Saccharomyces cerevisiae S288C: one gene and its partners. The gene in region 2 interacts genetically with the main gene of each other region. Each region holds a gene or a part of one and is shown on either strand. Other genes may lie near its edges.

Evidence for each region. A genetic interaction does not mean that the proteins touch.
Region 1: mutations in TYR1 (region 2) and GRR1 are lethal when combined (synthetic lethality), as found in Saccharomyces cerevisiae (one study listed by BioGRID).
Region 3: mutations in TYR1 (region 2) and CHS1 impair growth when combined (synthetic growth defect), as found in Saccharomyces cerevisiae (2 studies listed by BioGRID).

Annotation. Positions count from the first base shown.
Region 1 is NC_001142.9:590,372-596,014, reverse strand, and holds GRR1 (SCF ubiquitin ligase complex subunit GRR1), read left to right. Parts: upstream 1-1,687; coding exon 1,688-5,143; downstream 5,144-5,643. Other genes in the region: JSN1 (Jsn1p), read left to right, coding at 1-954; BIR1 (survivin), read right to left, coding at 5,433-5,643. UniProt on the Saccharomyces cerevisiae protein: Substrate recognition component of a SCF (SKP1-CUL1-F-box protein) E3 ubiquitin-protein ligase complex which mediates the ubiquitination and subsequent proteasomal degradation of target proteins.
Region 2 is NC_001134.8:569,317-573,146, reverse strand, and holds TYR1 (prephenate dehydrogenase (NADP(+))), read left to right. Parts: upstream 1-1,946; coding exon 1,947-3,305; downstream 3,306-3,830. Other genes in the region: PEX32 (Pex32p), read right to left, coding at 1-776; ribonuclease P/MRP protein subunit POP7, read left to right, coding at 1,257-1,679; UBS1 (Ubs1p), read right to left, coding at 3,462-3,830.
Region 3 is NC_001146.8:274,559-280,397, forward strand, and holds CHS1 (chitin synthase CHS1), read left to right. Parts: upstream 1-1,943; coding exon 1,944-5,339; downstream 5,340-5,839. Other genes in the region: YNL193W (uncharacterized protein), read left to right, coding at 1-1,486. UniProt on the Saccharomyces cerevisiae protein: Polymerizes chitin, a structural polymer of the cell wall and septum, by transferring the sugar moiety of UDP-GlcNAc to the non-reducing end of the growing chitin polymer. Required for mitotic division septum formation during adverse conditions.

The DNA of each region.
Region 1 (5,643 bases), on a different chromosome or scaffold from region 2:
AATAGCAATGGTGCGTTGTTAGTAACGTGGTTTTTAGATACTAGTGTTTTACCCAACAGACATTCTATCTTGGCACCAAGATTGACGAAAAGAATTGTAGAGTTATGTGGCCACAGATTGGCTTCTTTGACTATTTTGAAGGTCTTGAATTACAGAGGGGATGATAACGCTAGAAAAATCATCCTAGATTCCCTATTTGGAAACGTGAACGCACACGATTCTTCGCCACCAAAGGAATTAACAAAGCTTTTATGTGAAACAAATTATGGCCCAACCTTTGTCCATAAAGTTTTAGCAATGCCATTATTAGAAGATGACTTAAGAGCCCACATCATTAAACAAGTCAGAAAAGTATTGACGGATTCTACTCAAATCCAACCAAGCCGCCGTTTATTGGAAGAAGTCGGGTTGGCATCACCCTCTAGTACTCATAACAAGACAAAACAACAACAGCAGCAGCATCATAACAGCAGCATTTCGCACATGTTCGCCACTCCTGATACTTCTGGACAACACATGAGAGGTCTTTCTGTTTCTAGCGTTAAAAGTGGTGGATCTAAACATACCACAATGAACACCACGACTACAAATGGTTCTTCTGCCTCTACATTATCCCCGGGCCAACCATTGAATGCCAATTCTAATTCTTCAATGGGCTATTTTAGTTATCCTGGCGTCTTCCCTGTCAGCGGCTTTTCAGGCAACGCCAGTAATGGATATGCTATGAACAACGATGACTTAAGTTCCCAGTTTGATATGCTAAACTTTAATAACGGAACCCGTTTATCGTTGCCACAACTGAGCCTAACTAACCATAACAACACTACTATGGAATTAGTAAACAATGTTGGCTCCTCACAACCTCATACGAACAACAACAACAATAATAACAACACGAACTATAACGACGATAACACCGTTTTTGAAACTCTGACTTTACACTCTGCAAACTGACGTCCCCATGTTTTCTTTTATTTCCGTCATCATTGGGAGACCACGCCGTTTTCTTCTCATACCTGCATCCATTCAAAACTATCTCATTTACCCCCAACGGTTTTATGGTTCAAATCCTAATAGAATATGAGCGAGCTAATGAAGAATTTGGGCATTTTCATTACTGGGAAGACGTGTCTTTTTCAAGCCATCATATCGCCAAATTTTTTTTCTACACCTAATCATGATTAAATAAATCCATAAAGTTTTATACAGTTTTTAAAAATATCATCATTTATTACCCAGATGTGTTAATGAACATTTATAGTCATCATTACTAGGCTTTCATTACTACTGAGGTTACCCGCCTATGGACCTTCCTTGGTAAAGGAACTTGTTTTAAAATTTGCCTTTTAACAAATTTAGTGATATGATTATCAAAAAAGGCGTGGCAAAATACATAACACCAAATTTAACTGTGCCTGTGTGTTACTTTCTTTTGTCCATACTTCACCAGTTTTTCGATTTTACACAATAATTCGTTTTCATTTAATCGTTCTCTTAGAAGCCCGGTTTTTGAATATCAAAATCGTACTTGTGTCCAACTAGCAGGGAAGCCCAAAAATTAAGGCATTGCATTTAAGCTTACACCTGCGTGAAATCTTGAAATTTCTCATTGATTTCGGCACAATAATTATCATTGGTAGTGAGGCTAAACAGTTTTGCGGTTTCCTTTATACTAAGAAGGTCTATAATGGATCAGGATAACAACAACCACAATGACAGCAATAGGCTGCACCCACCTGATATACATCCAAATTTGGGCCCTCAATTGTGGCTGAATAGTAGCGGTGATTTTGACGACAACAACAACAACAACAACAACAACAACAATAATAATAGCACAAGACCACAAATGCCATCACGAACTAGAGAAACGGCAACTTCGGAAAGAAATGCAAGTGAGGTTAGGGATGCAACGCTAAATAATATCTTTAGGTTCGATAGTATTCAACGGGAAACGCTTTTGCCAACCAACAACGGACAACCGCTAAATCAAAACTTTTCGCTGACATTTCAACCACAACAGCAAACAAATGCGCTGAACGGGATTGACATAAACACTGTGAACACAAACCTTATGAATGGTGTCAATGTTCAAATAGATCAACTTAATCGATTGTTACCGAACCTACCAGAGGAAGAACGGAAGCAAATCCACGAATTCAAGCTAATAGTGGGCAAAAAAATCCAAGAGTTTCTGGTTGTTATAGAGAAACGTAGAAAAAAAATACTGAACGAAATTGAGCTAGACAACCTTAAACTAAAGGAGCTACGTATTGATAACTCCCCACAAGCAATTAGTTATTTGCATAAATTACAAAGAATGAGGCTTAGGGCGCTAGAGACAGAAAACATGGAAATTAGAAATTTAAGGCTAAAAATATTAACAATTATAGAAGAGTACAAAAAGTCATTATATGCATACTGCCATTCCAAGCTAAGAGGTCAACAAGTGGAAAATCCAACAGATAATTTCATCATTTGGATAAACTCCATAGATACTACTGAATCATCTGACTTGAAAGAAGGGCTACAAGATCTTTCGAGATATTCAAGGCAGTTCATAAATAATGTGCTTTCGAATCCATCAAATCAAAACATATGTACGAGTGTCACCCGAAGATCACCTGTGTTTGCCCTAAACATGCTACCCTCGGAAATATTACACTTAATATTAGATAAACTTAACCAAAAATATGATATTGTAAAATTCCTTACCGTTTCCAAACTCTGGGCTGAAATAATTGTGAAGATACTTTATTACAGACCGCACATCAACAAAAAGAGTCAATTAGACTTGTTTTTAAGGACTATGAAGTTAACTTCTGAAGAAACTGTATTCAACTATCGTTTAATGATCAAAAGATTAAATTTTTCATTTGTTGGTGACTACATGCACGATACAGAGCTTAACTATTTTGTCGGATGTAAGAATTTGGAGCGACTAACTTTAGTATTTTGCAAGCATATAACCAGTGTTCCAATATCGGCTGTTTTGAGAGGATGTAAATTTCTCCAAAGTGTGGATATCACTGGAATAAGAGACGTTTCCGATGACGTATTTGATACCTTAGCGACATATTGTCCCAGAGTACAGGGCTTTTATGTTCCTCAGGCAAGGAATGTAACATTCGATTCACTGCGGAATTTCATAGTCCATTCCCCGATGTTGAAAAGAATAAAAATCACAGCAAACAATAACATGAATGACGAATTAGTAGAACTATTAGCCAACAAATGCCCTTTGCTTGTAGAGGTCGATATAACATTAAGTCCAAATGTCACTGATTCTAGTTTGTTAAAACTCCTCACTAGGTTAGTTCAGCTGAGGGAATTCAGAATAACTCATAATACGAATATTACGGATAATCTTTTCCAGGAGCTTTCTAAAGTAGTTGACGATATGCCCTCTTTAAGATTGATTGATCTTTCTGGATGTGAAAATATTACAGATAAAACTATAGAAAGTATAGTCAATTTAGCCCCTAAATTACGTAATGTTTTTCTAGGCAAGTGTAGCCGAATTACAGATGCATCGTTGTTCCAATTATCGAAGCTGGGCAAAAACTTGCAAACAGTGCATTTTGGGCACTGTTTCAATATAACTGATAACGGGGTAAGAGCACTCTTTCATTCATGTACAAGAATACAGTATGTGGACTTTGCGTGCTGTACGAATTTAACCAATAGAACTCTTTATGAACTAGCAGACTTACCAAAATTAAAGAGAATTGGCCTTGTCAAATGTACGCAAATGACTGACGAGGGTTTGTTGAATATGGTTTCCTTGCGAGGCCGAAATGATACTTTAGAAAGGGTACATTTATCTTACTGTTCTAATTTAACAATATATCCGATATATGAGCTTCTAATGTCTTGCCCAAGGCTCTCACATTTGTCTTTGACTGCTGTTCCGTCATTTTTACGCCCCGATATAACGATGTATTGCAGGCCTGCACCCTCAGACTTTAGTGAAAATCAACGTCAAATATTCTGCGTATTTTCAGGGAAAGGTGTTCATAAACTTCGCCATTATTTAGTAAATTTAACGTCGCCCGCTTTTGGACCACATGTCGATGTAAATGATGTTTTGACAAAATATATTAGATCCAAGAATTTGATATTTAACGGTGAAACACTTGAAGATGCTCTTAGGAGAATCATAACTGATTTAAATCAAGATTCCGCTGCAATTATAGCTGCTACAGGATTAAATCAAATCAACGGTCTAAATAACGATTTTCTTTTCCAGAATATCAATTTTGAACGAATAGATGAAGTATTCAGTTGGTATCTCAATACTTTTGATGGCATTAGGATGAGCTCGGAGGAAGTTAACTCACTATTATTGCAAGTAAACAAGACGTTTTGTGAAGATCCATTTAGTGATGTGGACGATGATCAAGATTATGTCGTAGCACCTGGTGTAAACCGGGAAATTAACAGTGAAATGTGTCATATTGTTAGAAAATTCCATGAGTTAAATGATCATATTGATGATTTCGAGGTGAATGTTGCTAGTTTGGTAAGAGTTCAGTTTCAGTTTACTGGTTTTTTACTTCATGAAATGACTCAAACCTATATGCAAATGATTGAATTAAACAGACAAATTTGTTTAGTACAAAAAACGGTTCAGGAATCGGGCAACATAGATTACCAAAAAGGGCTTTTAATATGGCGACTTTTATTCATTGACAAATTCATTATGGTGGTTCAGAAGTACAAGCTCTCCACCGTTGTTTTGAGACTATATTTAAAAGATAACATAACATTGTTAACCAGACAAAGAGAACTATTAATAGCCCACCAAAGATCAGCATGGAATAACAATAATGACAATGACGCCAACCGGAACGCCAACAACATAGTGAATATTGTATCGGATGCTGGGGCAAACGATACAAGTAACAATGAAACTAACAATGGTAATGATGACAATGAAACAGAAAATCCAAATTTCTGGCGTCAGTTTGGCAATAGAATGCAAATATCACCTGACCAGATGAGGAATCTCCAAATGGGACTTCGTAATCAGAACATGGTTAGGAACAATAACAACAACACAATTGACGAATCAATGCCTGACACTGCCATTGATTCTCAAATGGATGAAGCATCAGGAACGCCCGATGAAGATATGTTATAATTGTATTTCATTGAATACTTACTGTCCTACTACACCTTTATTTTCAAAATCCCACTTTTCTTACTTATTTACATATAAATACATAATGCATTCACTTTGAAACTTTTTGCCTTAGCATGTATACGCTATAGACTTGCGGTATCAACGAATATACGTAACGTTGTCACGTCCACAGAAGATGCTATGTCAACAGTTCCCTGCAGATATCTGCGATGCGGCGAAACATTCTATACACAGTTTCAAAACTACAAAAAATACAAACCTTTAGCCTGTTTATCAAATTAGTTAGCTATAAAATGCCCATTTTCTTAGCAATATCGATCAATTGATTGTCATCTTCCAAAGTTTCAATAAAATTTGTGGCAGTATAGTAATCCCTTCTCAATATGTCCAATTTCTTATCACAGTCATCTATAAATTCGCGCTTAATAGATTGCACTTTTAGGTTCACCCAATTGTTGAATGTCATGTCCAACTCTTCTGCAGGCATTTGCTTAATC
Region 2 (3,830 bases):
GGAATAATTTGTTCCATCTTTAAGTGTTTTGGTAAGAAACTCGAAATTTTAAAACTTTCAATCCCCAAATAATAGAAATTCCTAACAGCAGTAAACCTCCAAAGTAGCCTTAAGGTAGCTTGAAAACTACTCGTATTGTATATCAAGCCGGTAATAATAAAAAATCTAGTATAAGTTCCCGGTGATATGTATCTCATGATAATAATTTGAAAAATTGTACCGAATAAGAATAATCTGCAAAACAACCTCTTGCCAGAACACTCCTTATTGACGCCATCAAATGAAAGCTTTAATTTTTTCCAAACATTCAGCTCGTTTCTCAGTACTTCCAGTTTATCCAACACAGACTCTAGTAGCACGACAATTTCATCCAATGTAGGAGGTTCCGTGTCTCTTAACGAAGCTATCAATGAAACAATATAATACATGAATGATAAGAATAGAAATGCCCCGCTTATAATGCCTAACCATAGTCTCAAAATCTTTGTAAATGGCAGAAAATGGCTAGCCTCTGTTTCAACGGGGATAAAAAAACTTATGGTCAGCCATATGCTCGTTAGATAAATGAATGTTAAACATTTATCGTCGGACAGCCACATTATATTCGCTAAGGCATTGTCGAATATTAGTAGTAGTGGATATGCGTGAAACAGAGTGCTGGAAATCATTGGAGGTGTAATTTGGATAAGAGAGGGCTTTTGCCCATGATTATGTATAAATTTCGCCTTAATTTTTTTATTTTCAGTTTGTACTTTGGTTTTAGAATTTGTGTCCATTTCTTTCCTTGAAATTAGCAAAATGATGTCCACTGAACTAAATTAAGATCAATGAAAGAAAAGAGAAAGTATGAAGTAGTTTCGAGTGATTGCACCTTCTTCATCAATTCTGTTTACCCTTGCAGTTGGTGTTCCAGTAATTCTTGGAAATAAGCATAAAAGGGTATTTGTTTCGGGGATAATTTCTTTACTTCCCCACCAGGCTGTTGAATTGAATATGAAAATGGTATGACAACAATAATGTCTAAAATTCCCAAATCAATTTGGTAAAAATCTGTCCAGCTCAATATGGTTGAATAATCATGAGAAGTACATCAATAGTCTTCTCATGTCATTTCGAAAAAATGTTTTTTCTTCATTTTTTTCCTGCGATTGTTTGACCATTTGTTTAATTTCACTCTCTGTAAAGAGCTACTTAACTATTCAGAAATAAGCAATAAGATTGACGGTCAAAGAAGAAAAGAGAACTCTGCACCCAGGATGGCACTCAAAAAGAATACACACAACAAATCTACCAAACGAGTAACGAAACACCCATCTTTGAAAACTCTAACGCATAAGCAAATACACACAACAATTTTCGTTAAGTCTACAACACCATACGTTAGTGCACTGAAAAGAATAAATAAGTTTCTCGATAGCGTTCATAAGCAAGGATCATCCTATGTTGCGGTTTTGGGTATGGGTAAAGCTGTAGAAAAGACACTGGCATTAGGTTGTCATTTTCAAGATCAGAAGAACAAGAAAATAGAGGTTTACACTAAAACTATAGAAGTTCTTGATGAAGTAATAACTGAAGGCCAAGCTGATATCGACATGGAAAGTGATGTTGAAGATGACGATAAAGAAACCCAACTAAAGAAAAGGGCTGTAAGCGGTGTAGAATTGCGTATTTATGTTTAATATGTCATACTTTTAGCGCTCATTGTTATTGTATACTATTTATAGCTAACAGTTTATTATTAGATTTCCTCTAATAAGCGTTATACCAGTGTAGTAAGTTTATCACTTCAGCTATGTGTCATTTTTTTTTTTTTTTTTTGAGGCCTTATATGAAAATAAGCTTTGAAGAAAGTGATACTGGAATTATTCAAACCAAGAAAAGTTTTTAGAATTACAAGAATACCGTAGCACTTGAAGGAAAGAGGACAGCATATCCACTTGATAAACATGGTATCAGAGGATAAGATTGAGCAATGGAAAGCCACAAAAGTCATTGGTATAATTGGTCTGGGTGATATGGGCCTATTATACGCTAATAAATTTACAGATGCTGGATGGGGTGTTATATGTTGTGATAGGGAAGAATATTATGATGAACTGAAAGAAAAATATGCCTCAGCTAAATTCGAACTGGTGAAAAATGGTCATTTGGTATCCAGGCAAAGCGACTATATTATCTATAGTGTTGAAGCATCCAATATTAGTAAGATCGTCGCAACGTATGGACCATCTTCTAAGGTTGGAACAATTGTTGGGGGTCAAACGAGTTGTAAGCTGCCGGAAATCGAGGCTTTCGAAAAGTATTTACCCAAGGACTGCGACATCATTACCGTGCATTCCCTTCATGGGCCTAAAGTTAATACTGAAGGCCAACCACTAGTTATTATCAATCACAGATCACAGTACCCAGAATCTTTTGAGTTCGTTAATTCTGTTATGGCATGTTTGAAAAGTAAGCAAGTTTATTTGACATATGAAGAGCATGACAAGATTACCGCTGATACACAAGCTGTGACACATGCTGCTTTCTTAAGTATGGGATCTGCGTGGGCAAAGATAAAGATTTATCCTTGGACTCTGGGTGTAAACAAATGGTACGGTGGCCTAGAAAATGTGAAAGTTAATATATCACTAAGAATCTATTCGAACAAGTGGCATGTTTACGCAGGATTAGCCATAACAAACCCAAGTGCACATCAGCAAATTCTTCAATATGCAACCAGTGCAACAGAACTATTTAGTTTAATGATAGATAACAAAGAACAAGAACTTACTGATAGACTATTAAAAGCTAAGCAATTTGTATTTGGAAAGCATACTGGTCTCTTACTATTGGATGACACGATTTTAGAGAAATATTCGCTATCAAAAAGCAGCATTGGTAACAGCAACAATTGCAAGCCAGTGCCGAATTCACATTTATCATTGTTGGCGATTGTTGATTCGTGGTTTCAACTTGGTATTGATCCATATGATCATATGATTTGTTCGACGCCATTATTCAGAATATTCCTGGGTGTGTCCGAATATCTTTTTTTAAAACCTGGCTTATTAGAACAGACAATTGATGCAGCTATCCATGATAAATCATTCATAAAAGATGATTTAGAATTTGTTATTTCGGCTAGAGAATGGAGCTCGGTTGTTTCTTTTGCCAATTTTGATATATACAAAAAGCAATTTCAGAGTGTTCAAAAGTTCTTTGAGCCAATGCTTCCAGAGGCTAATCTCATTGGCAACGAGATGATAAAAACCATTCTGAGTCATTCTAGTGACCGTTCGGCCGCTGAAAAAAGAAATACATAATGTTTTTAATGCTGATTTCCTATAATATTAGGCCTTCTTTTGTGAAAAGGAGTATATTTATATAACTGAATAAAAATATATATTGTGACAAATGCCCATGCAAAAAATCGTGAAAAAAGGAAGAAAGTTCTACTATTCTATGTAAAAATAAACCCATTAGATTTTTTTCCTCTTTGTGTAATGCTCACTACCGCGATTATCGTTCGTTTCATCTGGACATGCCAACGTTCTTGACCTTTTAGAACTTACGACCGGATGAATACTGTCATCATCACATGCAAGTAAGTTTTTGGTCATAAAGTCGATAGCATTGTAGTCATGTGTCCTTTTGTTAACGTTATTATTGTTGAGAGTAGATAACATACTAGACTTTCCTATGCTGCTGTTAGTATAAGGGTTCTTGCTGTTGTCTTGTGCGTGAAAGGTGTGGCTTTGAGCATTGTAAGAGGACATAAATTCATTGACACTGCCACCATTACTATTGCTGATATTATGATTTTTGGAATAGCTCTTTACTATAGAGTA
Region 3 (5,839 bases), on a different chromosome or scaffold from region 2:
TGGTCTGACTGCTTTAGATTCCACGCAGGAAGGGAAATATAATATCTATTATAATGAAACAAGGCTTTTTTTGCAAATTTATACAGATTATCTGGCCAATAACGGCTACATTAATATCTTGCAATACGTGAAAATGGATGATATGCCTGATCTTTCCAATTTGGTGTTATCTCTGCCACAGATTATCCAACGGTTTGAAATTGTTTATGAGACTTTCCCAGAACAGAGAACTTGGGATCTTCAATTCAATCTATTGACATGTTATTTGACTCTCATAGAGTCCCTAGACGACACCGTTTCGCCCACCGTTGCAATGGAAGGTGCAGACATTTTAACTTTGACAAACAAGTATATTGAAATCTTTCAACACCTGGTTAATTATCTGTTACAAGAACTACAAAACTGGAGTGAAAATGCAGAACAAGATTCCGATGACACAGATACGGAATTGCAAAGAGATACTTTGGATGAAGACGCGATGCAAGTTACCAGGGACGGAAGTGGTATCCGAACCAATGGACCTGTACAACCTCCAGCAGAAGTTATGGACGTTTCTGAACAAGTGACTCCGTCTTCACTTACCGAAGTACTCGCCAACTCTTTAAAGTTCAACCATGCTTTGATGGAATTGGTTATTGAGTCGAAAATATCTATTGAAAAAAATGTCGAAACGAAAATCTTGAATCCTATTCAGATTAATTTCTTGGAAGATACAACCAATAAATTCTATTTACAACTACGCGACATTATAGACTCCATTTCCGCCGCCATTCCATTAGATTTGAAGGAAATCGGTTTAGCCAAGACTTTAATTGAAGGTTTGAACATCATTAGCTCCGGAACCTTCGAGTCATTGCAAGATTTTGTTCTGCAAACCGTCTCCTTTACCGATCTGCTTGATGAAAAAGATGTACAGGGTAAGATTGATCTTTCGTTGATTAGAGTTGATATCGTTGAATTTGCCATTCTATGTTTAAACGATTATTCTTCAGATGCATCTTGGAAACTCTCTGGGTTATTGACCAAAGTTCTTACAGAGGCTAGAACTTTATTAACAGACTATAGAAATCAAATCTTGTTTCTGAAAAATCAGACATTGAACGAACAATTGAGTCACGTAGTTTTTCAACTTTGTGATGTCTTAGTAAATTCCTCCGATAATGAACTGAGAAGGTACGCTATAAAAGAATCAACTGAAAAGTCACAAAAAACCCCCGGGGGAGCGCATACTTTAAACATATTGATGAAAAACGCTAACGTTTTTCTGAATAATGCTGTCGCTATCTCATCAAAACAGTGCGGGTTACAAGAAACGATTATTGATAAACTGAAGAGGAACTATATCCATAATCAAGCCAAGGAAAGACTACTTTTCTTACAGAGGCTGGAACAGAAGTCAAATGAGGATGACGGTACTTCTGCTTCGCCTACCGCAATGACGTTCGATATGCCACCAGAACACCCTTTTTATAGCCACTATCGGTAGTGAAATTACGTACATATACATAAGTAGAAGATAATTCGTTGCGCATATGCTACAAGAACCCTTGGTGAAACGAAATTTGATACAAGTAAATACATGCAGGAAACATACATTACCTCTGAAACAAAGCCGAGACGGGGCCCAGCAGTCTTTTTTTAGAAATCGCGTGGCTTGGTAACGCGATAATGACGCGACACAGCCATTAGTGTGAAATTTGATTTTCTTGGCCAAACTAGGTATAATATTTGTTACAAATTATTGATTTTAATATATATCTCGGGTTCATTTTTTACGTCGGTACTCCAAAGGATCAGAACACTTACATTTTGAGGCCTACCGGACCTTGCAGTACTGCTTGTTTAAATACGCAGTATACATTTCTTCTTCTTCTTCTCTCTTCTTTCCTTCCTCGAAGAGTCACTAAATTAATACTGGGAAGCCAAACCAAAAAAACTATACAATGAGTGATCAAAATAATCGATCGAGAAATGAATATCACTCAAACCGGAAGAATGAACCTTCCTATGAACTCCAAAATGCACATAGCGGGCTATTTCACTCTTCTAATGAAGAATTAACAAACAGGAACCAAAGATATACCAATCAAAATGCCAGCATGGGTTCATTCACTCCAGTCCAATCTTTGCAATTTCCAGAACAATCTCAGCAAACAAATATGCTTTATAACGGTGACGATGGCAATAATAATACTATCAATGATAACGAACGAGACATATATGGAGGTTTTGTCAACCACCATCGCCAGCGTCCCCCACCAGCAACTGCAGAATACAATGACGTTTTTAATACGAATAGTCAACAGCTACCGTCGGAACATCAATACAATAACGTACCTTCATATCCACTTCCTTCGATAAATGTGATTCAAACCACTCCAGAACTCATACATAACGGCTCACAGACTATGGCCACCCCCATCGAAAGGCCCTTCTTTAACGAAAACGACTACTATTATAATAACAGGAACTCTAGGACGTCACCGAGTATTGCTTCTAGTAGCGATGGTTATGCAGATCAGGAAGCTAGGCCCATTTTGGAGCAACCCAACAATAACATGAATAGCGGTAATATTCCTCAATACCATGACCAACCTTTTGGATACAACAATGGTTACCATGGCCTACAGGCAAAAGATTACTATGACGATCCGGAGGGTGGTTATATTGATCAGAGAGGAGATGACTATCAGATTAATTCATATTTGGGTAGAAACGGTGAAATGGTTGATCCTTACGATTATGAAAACAGTTTAAGACATATGACTCCTATGGAGCGTAGAGAATATCTTCATGATGATAGCAGACCCGTAAACGATGGAAAAGAAGAATTAGACAGTGTGAAAAGCGGTTACTCTCATAGAGACTTGGGGGAATATGACAAGGATGATTTTTCAAGGGATGACGAGTACGATGATCTCAACACTATTGATAAATTACAGTTTCAAGCTAATGGTGTACCTGCATCATCCTCGGTGTCTTCTATCGGATCTAAAGAATCCGACATAATAGTAAGCAATGATAACTTAACCGCAAATAGAGCACTAAAGAGAAGCGGTACTGAAATTAGGAAATTCAAACTTTGGAATGGTAATTTTGTTTTCGATTCTCCAATCAGTAAGACGCTATTGGACCAATACGCTACTACAACAGAAAATGCAAACACTTTACCAAATGAGTTTAAGTTTATGAGATATCAAGCAGTTACTTGCGAACCTAATCAACTTGCAGAGAAGAATTTCACGGTGAGGCAGTTGAAGTATTTAACTCCAAGGGAAACGGAATTGATGCTAGTAGTCACAATGTATAATGAAGACCATATCCTGTTAGGAAGAACTTTGAAAGGTATTATGGACAATGTCAAATATATGGTGAAAAAAAAAAATTCAAGCACTTGGGGGCCGGATGCATGGAAAAAGATTGTCGTTTGTATCATTTCAGATGGTAGATCCAAAATTAATGAACGCTCGCTAGCATTACTAAGTTCGTTAGGTTGTTACCAGGACGGGTTTGCTAAGGATGAAATTAATGAAAAAAAAGTGGCAATGCATGTCTACGAACATACGACAATGATCAACATCACAAATATTTCGGAATCAGAGGTTTCATTAGAATGCAATCAAGGTACCGTTCCAATACAACTTTTGTTTTGTTTGAAAGAGCAAAATCAGAAAAAAATTAACTCACATAGATGGGCATTTGAAGGCTTTGCAGAATTACTGCGTCCCAATATCGTTACATTGTTAGATGCTGGTACCATGCCAGGTAAAGATTCTATTTACCAGTTATGGAGAGAGTTCAGGAATCCAAATGTTGGTGGCGCATGTGGTGAAATAAGAACTGATTTGGGTAAGAGATTTGTAAAGCTTTTGAATCCTTTAGTTGCATCACAGAATTTCGAATACAAAATGTCCAATATTTTAGACAAAACAACCGAGTCTAACTTTGGATTTATTACTGTTCTACCGGGGGCATTCTCTGCGTATAGGTTTGAAGCTGTGAGAGGCCAACCATTACAGAAGTACTTTTATGGTGAAATTATGGAAAATGAAGGTTTTCATTTTTTTTCTTCCAATATGTATCTTGCTGAAGATCGTATTTTATGCTTTGAAGTGGTCACAAAAAAAAATTGTAATTGGATTTTGAAATACTGCAGAAGTTCTTATGCTTCAACAGATGTACCGGAGAGGGTCCCTGAATTTATTCTTCAGAGGAGGCGTTGGTTGAATGGTTCATTTTTTGCTAGTGTATATTCCTTTTGTCATTTTTACAGAGTCTGGAGCAGTGGTCATAATATTGGTAGAAAACTCCTTTTGACGGTTGAATTTTTTTACCTTTTCTTCAATACATTGATTTCATGGTTTTCATTGAGTTCATTTTTCCTAGTCTTTAGAATTCTCACTGTTTCTATTGCACTGGCATACCATTCAGCATTTAATGTGTTGTCCGTCATATTCCTGTGGCTTTATGGGATTTGTACCTTATCAACATTCATACTGTCATTGGGTAATAAACCTAAAAGTACTGAGAAATTTTATGTTCTAACTTGCGTCATTTTTGCGGTGATGATGATTTACATGATATTCTGCAGTATATTCATGAGTGTCAAATCCTTCCAAAATATATTGAAAAACGATACCATCAGCTTTGAGGGTTTGATTACCACAGAAGCTTTCAGGGATATTGTTATCTCTCTGGGCTCCACTTATTGTTTGTACCTAATCAGTTCAATTATCTATTTGCAGCCATGGCATATGTTGACAAGTTTTATTCAGTATATTTTATTGAGTCCTTCTTACATCAATGTTTTGAATATCTATGCATTTTGTAATGTCCACGACTTATCATGGGGTACAAAGGGTGCAATGGCAAATCCGCTGGGTAAGATTAATACTACAGAAGATGGTACGTTCAAAATGGAAGTTCTGGTCTCTAGTTCAGAGATTCAAGCAAACTACGATAAATATTTGAAAGTTTTAAATGACTTCGATCCAAAATCAGAATCTCGGCCTACTGAGCCATCTTATGATGAAAAAAAGACTGGCTATTATGCAAACGTTAGATCTCTCGTGATTATCTTTTGGGTCATCACAAATTTCATCATCGTTGCTGTTGTCTTAGAAACCGGTGGGATTGCAGATTATATTGCTATGAAATCCATATCAACTGATGACACTTTAGAAACTGCAAAGAAGGCGGAAATTCCCTTAATGACCAGTAAGGCCTCAATTTATTTTAATGTAATTTTATGGTTAGTTGCATTATCGGCATTAATAAGGTTCATTGGTTGCTCAATATACATGATAGTAAGGTTTTTTAAAAAGGTTACATTTCGCTAAGTAGATTGATTACCCCTTTGTTATAAATAAGTATATGTGTTTACTATCATATAATAATTAATTAGTTGTAAGTATGGTATTTTTCAAAGAAACATTTAGTATTATTTTTAAAGGGTGCCTTTACCATAAAACCAAAAAAAAATGGCTTCTGAGAGAAAAACATAAATAATTGATAAAACTGAAACTCACAACACCAACTCTTCCGCTCTAAACACCCAAAGCTCAAAAAACGACATGTGCACATCTATATCCATAAACTTTCAAAAAAGTGGTTCATTCGCAAATTCATGAAGTATTATTTAATACACAGTAATCTGGCATTTCATACTATCATTGCTCAAATTATCCGCCGGACCCTTGAAACTGTGGCGCTTTTTAAGACGCATCTCCAAAAAAAGAAAAAGAACAAAAGAAAAAAAGCTGCAAATATATATACAAAACAGATTTCACGTTTATTGCTTGGGAGTAAGGTAACGATCCGGAAGCCTTGAAGAAATTTG